2 linked regions of the Sus scrofa genome follow. The protein of the gene in region 1 interacts with the protein of each later gene in a biochemical or structural test. Links are inferred from orthologs where the notes say so. Each region holds a gene or a part of one and is shown on either strand. Other genes may lie near its edges.

Region 1 (4,323 bases):
GCACATGGCACGCGGGGACCTGCCCGTGAGTCAGCGTGGGGTGTTTGAGTTGTAATCGAGGTTTCCATCGACATCCTTGTATAGAAATCCGGGCTGGTCTCGTTAAAGGGCACGATCATTTTTCATGCCCTTAATGGAAATCGCCGAATTGTTTTCCATGCGTCTTTGCCAAGGCCTTGCCTGGTGCTTGATGGAGGACCACCTGGCAGGTGCTCAAGCCACCCAGGTGGGCACGTGAGTGGGAGGGAGCTGCTGGGGCCCCGCTGTCCATGGAGACCTGAGGCTTGGCACACAGTGGGTGCCCGAGATAGGCTTACGGAATGTGTAGTCCTGGACCTGCCTTCTCATTTGATGGACGGGAAGCGAGGCCCAGAGGTTTGGAACCCATGCTGGGGAGGTTGGTGGCATTGCCAGGGCTGCTAGCAGTGATCGCAGGCCTCTGTGAGGGCCATGGGCTGAGGCCAGGGCACTGTGTTGGTGTGAAAGAGCGGGCCTGTTCATTCAGTGGTCTACTCGTCCCCTCTCTGCTTCCTCCGCAGCCCTCAGCATCCCTGCCTTACCCTGACGAAGGCCCTGAGATCCTCAGCGCCCAAGTTACCAGTGCCTCCAGCTGACCCGGCCAATGGCAGGTGCTCGGCTGGCATGTGTCCCTCTCGATCCCTCACTCTTAAATGTTTGTAGGCCCCAACCTGGTGATGCCTGGCCTGGGCTCGTCCCTGTCACCCCCAAGACTGCCCCTCCTCCATGGCTTCCTTTCCGCCTGTCCCTCCTCGGAGCAGCCTTAGGGCTCGGAGAACGCTCGGAGGACCCGGTCACCGGTCCAGGACTCAGGAGCACACAGCCAGGCACAGGCACCTGTACATCAGTGACCCAGTGGGATCCTCTCGGATCCTCTGAGGCTCAGAGAGGTTAAGCAACTTGCCCGAGGCCACGGCGCTAGGGAGGGGCTTAAATGGAATTTGTAGGAGGAGGTGGGGACCCGCCGCTTGGCCGCTCATCAACACGTACGCAAGTCACACCCCTACACAACATGTGCGCTGCAGCAGCGCACACACCCACACAAAGTGCCAGACTGCGGTACCCACAGCCCCACCGCACTCGCTGCACGCGCACTCCCTGGGACGCCAACAGCCCGCACGCCCGCCGGGGCGCGCCCCTCCGGCGTCTCTGGCCCCGCCCCTTCAGCCCCGGCCCCGCCTCCCTGGCCCGGGCCCCGCCCCCTGCCCCGCCCCCGGGCTGACCTCAGCGAGGCCCGGCTGCCGGCGCAGAGCGCCAGGCTGCGCCGAGCCGCGCGGGCTGCCGCCGCTCCCGCCGCGCGCCGGGCGGGCCCCCGCGCCCGCGCCCGCGCCGCCTCGGGTCCCGCGGCCCGGCCGGCCGCCCCCGCCGCTGCGAGCCGTCCATGGTGCAGCGCATGTGGGCCGAGGCGGCTGGGCCTGCGGGCGGCGCCGAGCCGCTGTTTCCGGGCTCCCGGCGGAGCCGCAGCGTGTGGGACGCCGTGCGCCTGGAGGTGGGCGGCCCCGACAGCTGCCCGGTGGTGCTGCACAGCTTCACGCAGCTCGACCCCGACCTGCCGCGCCTGGAGGTGGGTGAGCCAGGCGGGCCCCGCGCTCCGCCGAGCGAGGAGTGGGTGGGGGCCCAGGCGTCCTTAGCGGGTCACCCACCTCCAGTGGTTGTGGTCCCCATCCCCTGGTCCAGGGGGTTGCGGGGGAGGGTCTTTCTGCAGAAATCCCCCTTCTTGCACCAAACCCAAGGCAGCCAGGTGGATGGATGTGGGGGCTGCCGCACAGCCGGCCCAACTGTTTAGGGACCAGAACCGGGTTTTCTGGCCCCCCTCTATCCGTCCCCAAGCCGAGGCGTGCCAGCCCCGCGCCCCTGCAGCCCAGGTAGATTCGTTCCCGCGGGCAGTCACTGTCTGGGTCTGAATTTCCCAACCGCGAGGCTGGGCCGTGTTTCATCTCTGCAGCAGCCCCGGGCCTTAGGGTGTGTGGCTTCGAAATGCAAGTGGTGAACTCGTTAGTGATTAGGGTGACAAATGCCTAGAATCCACAAAGGCCTTCCAGACAGCCCCTCCCTGGGGCCAGAAGTGGACGCGATGGTCAGGGCTGCCCGGAGGAGGGGAGACAGGCCTCCAACCTGGGAGCCAGGTGCCCAGGCAGGGAGGCTGGGACAAGGGCCTCTCAGGCCAAGGAGTGACTCACTTCTGCTTGATTAGAAAATGAATTTGTAAGGATTTGGGAGGATTCAGAAGGGGAAATGTGCTTATCATGAAGGGGGGTAGGGGTCATGGGTGAGGGCTGGATTCCTGTTTCTAGGGTGCTCTGGGCAGCAGGGGACCCAGTGGGCCCTGGGTCCTGGGGCACAGCCGGAGGGAGGAGGGGGAGGGGGCTGCCCTCCCCCCCCCCCACCTGACTGTGCACCTGACTCTGACTCTCTGCGGCCGAGGTAGCAGAATCCAGGGTCGGCGCTGGGACAGAGGCCGTTCCTGAGTCAGAGGGCTCTGTGCAGTTCCTCAGCCCCTGTGCTGGTTCGGGCCCCCTTGGCATCCCCCACCTCCATCTTTTTAGGGCCTGGCTCTTGTGCCTCTGTGTGTCTGTCCCCAGTACCTCGTCAGGGCCCGGATGCAGATTTGCCCAAGAACAAAGTGCATCTCCCTGCCCAGTGTGGGGGAAGCCAAGCGGTGGAGGGAGCTCTGGGCGGCCCAGCCTAGGACCTGGGGAGACCCTCTACTCCTGAGCTTCGTGGGCGGCCTGGCCGGCATATTCCCGGACCCTCATCCACCCAGAGCTCTGGTCTTCCTTGGCAGCTGGAACAGACCCCTGGGAGGATGGGGGGCCTGACACCAGCCCAGCGCTCATCTGACTCTCATTACGTCTGGCAGCTCCACGGGCTTTGTGTGCTGGAGGGTCCAGCCTGCGTGCTCACAGGGGCGGGCCGCTGGGCTGCTTCTCTCTGTCTTCCCTCTGCCCGCTCCCCCCCGCCCCCCGTACCTCTGCATCCCCAAGGAACCCGAGGGAGAAGCAGATCTGAGCCCGACCCCTGCCCGGGGCTCCGCCTTCTCTCCCCAGCTCTGCCTCTCCCTCTGTCTCCCCTTCTCCCTCCTGCTCTCCCTCCCTGGCCCCAGCGCTGAGATCCAGGCCGTGGCTGCTGATTAGAAATCAAAGGGGAAGCTTCTGGCTGCGACAGGAAAACCAGGGTCCTGGCAGGAGAGAAGGCCACTGCCGGAAACCGAACACAATGACCATTTACCATTGCCTGGGGGAGGGGGCGGGGAAGTCCCTGTCCCTCCTGCCAACAGCACCCCCCCATTCTGGGGCCGATTTCCTGGTCGCTGTAGCCTGCCAGAGCTGAAGCGGCTGCTGTGGTCCCTGTCGTGTCTGGAAACCACCAGGCAGTTTCTGTTTCCTTCACCCGTTCCTGTTTCCCTCCCAGGCCCCCACCCGGTCCTTCCCTCTCTGGGCCGCCAGATGTCCTTGCACATCTGGGCATCTGCTTGTCATCATATTTCTAAGCCAAGCCCCTGCTGACTCAGCTCAGCCCGCACAGTTCTGTGCTTTCTAGAGGTCACCAGGCCCCTGCCCCGAGCCAGGCAGGAGTCCCAGAGTCTGGAGCACCTCCTGGCTGCAGACACCACCCGCTCGCTCGCTCCAGCTGGCCTCGACCCACCCTCCCGAGTGGGTGCCAGCCTCACTTTATAGGAGACCGGAGCGCAGAGGAGTGAAGTCCCTCATCTGCATGTACACGCAACCAGGAGGATGCAGCCAGGATTTGAACCTGGGCTGTGTTCTCTGCTGGCGTCTACTGTGTGCAAGAGCCCCCGGGCAGCAAAGAAGCAGGGGGCCCAGCCGACAGTGAGGACGATGGAGCCTCTGTGCGGGGGACGGAACCAGGCCCCCGGCAGCCCAGAAGCCCCCATGGCGATGGATGGAGGGTAGGGGCGCTTATAGCCAGGGCCAGGTGGAAGTGCTTTGGGCCAGGAGACACTGGGGATAGCTTCAAGGAAGAAACAAGCCCCCGGCTGGACCCTAAGGTTTGAAATCCTAGCCAGTGCGAGCCAGCACTTTGTGGGAGGCCTTCCGCTAAGTAGCTTGCAAGCGTTCTGTGTTTTTGGTCAGATCAGCCATTGTCCATTTAACAGAGGACACGACCAAGGCACTGGAGCTTCCTTAAGTCACACAGTCTCATCGAGCGGGCAGAGGCGGGATTCCGACCCGGCAGTGTGCCTGCAAGCCCTGCACGCTGTGTGTGTGTGTGTGTGTGTGTGTGTCTGTGTGTCTGTGCGTGCGCGCACAGTGGGTAGGAGGGCTTTTCTGATTATGTGGAGAT
Region 2 (4,588 bases), on another chromosome or scaffold:
CTCCATCAAGGACTAGTTTTGGGCAAAATACCAAACCTCTCTGCACTTCGCTTATGTCATTGGCATTATGGTGATATTAAATAATCCCAAACAACTGTTGTATAGAGTATGCAAAGCAGCTAGCTGGCAGAGGCCAGGGAACAAGTACTGAATACCTGCTGCGGCAACTCATTAATTTAAAAATTCATTCCCCAAAAGAGTGGAAAATCCGCTTGTTTGAAAATCATGTTTTATTCGCTTTGAGTGGGAGAAGTTAAAGACCCATCATACTGAATGCCGCCTTAGCATAATGTATACTGTCATACACACCGATTCCCTCTCTCCTTCAGTGTTAAGCTGTTTACAATGTGCTATAGGATGGGAGGCCAGATGATGAAGTTAAGGTGAGATAAAAAACAGCAGGACACAAAGGGCCCAACTGGTACTTATGGGCACAATGGATGATTCCAGTGAAAAGAGTTTACGAAGTCCACTTCAGCTGAGCTTTTCAACTGTACACATCGGCAACTGAGACTAGTGAGTACAATGACATTTGGGCAAGGAGAATTTTATTCTTCTTTTTCTTCCTGGGTCACAGTGCAAACAAATAAATCGTTCTAGCACACTAAGTTCAGACTAACTCATTCTTGGTAACCTCTAGTAAACTACAAAATCATGTGGACTATACTATCCAATAACATTCTGTCATATTCTGTCCTGTAAGTTTGTGCCAAGAAGTTTGCCCTGGGCTTGTGACTTTATCAACGCAGGAATTATCTGTGATATGTTTAAATACAAAGGGTGGAGCAGTTGGGGCGTTTACTTTACTATTTGATGTATGTACTTGGCCTAAGATTGACATGTGACAATGTGGTAGATTGCCCTGTTCTAAAGGTTTTTTGTTTTTTAAAACAGTATGAGGGGAATTAAAGATGTGAGTCATTTAAATACAGCCTCTTAAATATCATATACTTAATAAATTTAACACCAAAAGGGTTCCTATGTTAACTATAGCAATTAACTTTAAGAAATGAGACTGAAAAAGTAAAAAGCTGTCAGATTCACAGATCTTAGGACATTGTCAGAGGCCATGAAAACATTCACTGTATTCCAGCTTGAAATCTAACATATAAAATAACACACGAAATTTTAGTTTAGCTATTAAAGGGCATATTCAATGAGTTAAAGGAGGAGGGGAGAGGACCTCCCCTTTGATCTCCTATGTGGCATTAAAAATCCGCCTCTTGTAATGAATTTTTGAGCAAAGCTTGCGTGCACCTGACTTGGTATTTGCTCTTTCAAAATGAGTAGACTCAAACTGACTAAAAATGAGATTATGTCTATGATAACACTTATAACTAGCTTTTGCAACTGTCTACAAATTTAGGGTTACTGGTACAACTGGGAAAGAAAAGCAAAATTATGCTGAATCAAAATTATTGGCAATTATTAACTAATAGTAAGAATCAGACAAAACAGTAATGTGTAATTAAATGGTAATTAGAAAAATTTGCTAAAACTCTGAACTGAGATACTATTGCATTTTTTGATGCTAGAAATTATAGGAAAAAATATAAAACAAATAGCAGAAGCCATTAGGCTGTTATATTTCCAAAATGCACACTTGCGAAAAGAGTTTGTAACAGGAAAGAGCTTATCTGCTTTAACTTTAAATTAGCTAATATTTGAGTCACACCTTTGAAGAAACTCATTCTATTTTTAAGAATGCCTCTTTTTTTCCCTTTCTTTTTGTTTCTGAGGGGTAAAGTGGCTAGATTAAAAAAAAAAAGTTAAGCCACATTCTTTAATGTGATAGTACATTCGCGCTCCTACATACTAATACTCTCTCAATCCCACAGAGCCAGGTCTGCAAATAATTTGATAACCTGTCTCTAAAGTTTCATCTTAAGTGAAGAGTTCATTTTTGTAAAACGCCTTGCCACCATTCAATCTTCTATGAAATGAGAAAGATCTCTTTCCATTGGACTTGACATTTTTACCACATTTGTGTAAGCAATTTTTGCTGTCAAATGCTGCAAAGGGAGGTTTTTTGTTGTTCCGTCTGAAAATGTCTCCGCTATACTTGCACAGCTGCCTCCTCCCAGCAGAAACCTACCCGCCCCTCTCCCCCCACTGCAAGTTTTAAACTTTGTTTCCTTTGGGGTTCTGCACAACCGCTACTAATAATATCCAAGAGACAAAGAGCTGTGCTGTGGGTTCACCGGATGCCAAATTTGAGTTGTGAAACAAAGCACTCAAATTTGAGATTCAAGATGACGAGGAGGATGCTACCAGCTAAAAATTTAGGATAAAGCCTAAGACCCCAGAGCCACCTGCCTAGACAGCTCCTCCTGCCCACAGCCACCCCAGAGCACGCGGGAGGGAGTTCTGGCCCCGGGACAGGGGCTGCCGGCCGCACCGCGAAGCCCCTTGCCCGCGCCCCCGGCCCTCTCACCGCTTCACTCGGATGATCTGGTCCCGCATGGGCTTGATGTCCTGGAAGCTCTGCTGGTTGACGAGGCTATAGACGAGGATGAAGCCCTGGCCGTTCTTGATGTACAGGTCCCGCATGGACGCGAACTGCTCGGTGCCCGCCGTGTCCAGGATCTCCAGCACCGACGGCGACGAGTCCACCTCGATCTCCTTGCGGTAGAAGTCCTCGATGGTGGGGTCGTATTTCTCGATGAAGGTGCCGGTCACGAACTGCACGGTCAGGGCGGATTTGCCGACCCCGCCCGAGCCCAGCACCACCACTTTGTACTCGCGCATCGTCCCTCCGCGGCCGCCGCCGCCGCCGCTGCCCGCGACATAGACCTACGCCCGCCGCGCTGCGCCCCCCAACCCTGCGCCGGCGGCCGGCCCCGCCGCGTCCCGCGGCTGCCCCCACCTCACGGCCGCCGCGGCCCCCCGGGCGCCGGCGGAGGGAGCAGCAGCCCTGGGCATGGGCCGAGCCGGCGGCAATGCGGCCCCGCGGGCGCCGGCAGGCACTGAGGGCGAGCAGGGAGTGGGAGCCAGGGAGCCGCCGGAGCCGCCCGAAACGCGGGCCTGCAGTGCCGCCCGCCCCGCCCCTCGCGCCTCCACGCCCAGCTCCCCGCCCGCCGCCGCCGCCGCCGCCGCCGCTCCCCTCGGCGCCGGAGCGCGCGCCCGAGCCCCAGCCGCAGCGCTGCTGGGGGCGGGGCCCGGCGGCCCGGGGCGGGACCCGGTGGCGCAGCCCCGCCCTTGCTCCCCCGTCGCCTAGGCGACCGGCCTCGCGCGCTCCCGGGAGGCTCTGCGCCGTGCGGAAGCCTCGGCCCGCGCTTAGATAAACAACCACCTGGGCCACCCAACAACACCCCACCCCGCAAGCCGCGTCGAACCCTGCGGATCCTGCGTACTGAGCACGCGCGGTTCTTCTGCCCGCGACGGGAACCGCTTCGGCCTGAGCACGCCAAGTTCAGAATTTGGCAGAGACGCGATGTTGGCGGGGCCAGAGCAGTCTCTAGGTTTTAACTTGAGGCGGGGAGTGACAAGAAGACACCGGCAAGGTCCAAAAGGAGGCCTTGGCAGGAGGGCCTTGCTAGACACCACCCAGCCTGTGAGCTTTGGTTTTGTCCTGTATAAACATAACGAAAAAAGGCTTTGTTTAAAGGACGAGCATAAAACCGAAGTGAAGCTTTGTTTTAAGCGTCAAGACACAGAGGGAAAAGTGACAGGCCCTCATCCTGCCCACTGCCAGAGGCGGCAAAGGCCAGCGACCATGCGGAAGCCGGGCCCACGCCCGGTGACGTCGCCGGGAGTCCCGCCCACCTCCCCCCAGCCCCGCCTTTCTTCAGCGTCTGCTGGAAGTCGAGCTCTTCCCACGCCCTGTCAGCTACGGGCGCTTGGAAAACTGGGAGAGCGAAGCCCCAGGCGCAGCCAGAAGGCCTGGGGACAGCTCATAGCAACAGCCAGCCGGGGCACCTAGTAGGAAGCTGGGAGTCGTTCCAGCCAACCAGTGCACGCCTCTGGACCCATGGTACCATTCTCGGCCAATAGAGAGCCACTTCATACCACGTGATGCCCATCCATCAGCCAATGGGGGGAAAGCCTAGTTGCAGGCTCAGCCCTCCCACCTCCCACGCACGCTCTGCCAACCAACCGCAGGTGAGCTGGCGGATGGCGGAGACTTGAGCTGAGCCAACCAGAAATCGCGACTCCCTTGCCCCCAAGGGTGGGTGGAATGGAGACCCGGGGTAGGGCTGGTGGGTTTGGGAGGGGTCAGTGATTGAGGGACAGGTCGTTGCACCCTACGTTGGCAAGGGAACAAGATGTGTTGGAGGCGAGAACCATGGGTTTCGCTTTTAACGTCGTCTCGGTGGCATTCTGCCTAAATGACGGACCCGGAAATAGTGCTGAGTGATGTGGGCTGAATCGTGGGTCAATCGAGAAAACAGGGACTCTTGTCTTGAGGGTGAGAAAATTTCCGGTCATTAAAGAGACATACTGCAGCAGTTGCATGGGTCCTCCATGCGTGGCTCCTAAAACATTTTTAACAACTCCCTTTTAAAACTTACTGTTCTCTCTGTGGCATTAGATCATAATTAAACACTCTCTCCCACCTACAACGTTAAATTTAGGAGAAGTTATATTC

The links.
Region 2: the proteins of RALGDS (region 1) and RAP2A form a complex in vitro, tested with the Homo sapiens proteins (2 studies listed by BioGRID). The link is inferred for Sus scrofa from reciprocal best matches to the Homo sapiens genes RALGDS and RAP2A.

Annotation. Positions count from the first base shown.
Region 1 is NC_010443.5:272,797,032-272,801,354, reverse strand, and holds the start of RALGDS (ral guanine nucleotide dissociation stimulator), read left to right. Parts: upstream 1-1,368; 5' UTR 1,369-1,399; coding exon 1,400-1,582; intron 1,583-4,323. UniProt on the Homo sapiens protein: Functions as a guanine nucleotide exchange factor (GEF) activating either RalA or RalB GTPases and plays an important role in intracellular transport. Interacts and acts as an effector molecule for R-Ras, H-Ras, K-Ras, and Rap.
Region 2 is NC_010453.5:66,677,418-66,682,005, reverse strand, and holds the start of RAP2A (ras-related protein Rap-2a), read right to left. Parts: upstream 2,845-4,588; 5' UTR 2,749-2,844; coding exon 2,435-2,748; intron 1-2,434. UniProt on the Homo sapiens protein: Small GTP-binding protein which cycles between a GDP-bound inactive and a GTP-bound active form. In its active form interacts with and regulates several effectors including MAP4K4, MINK1 and TNIK.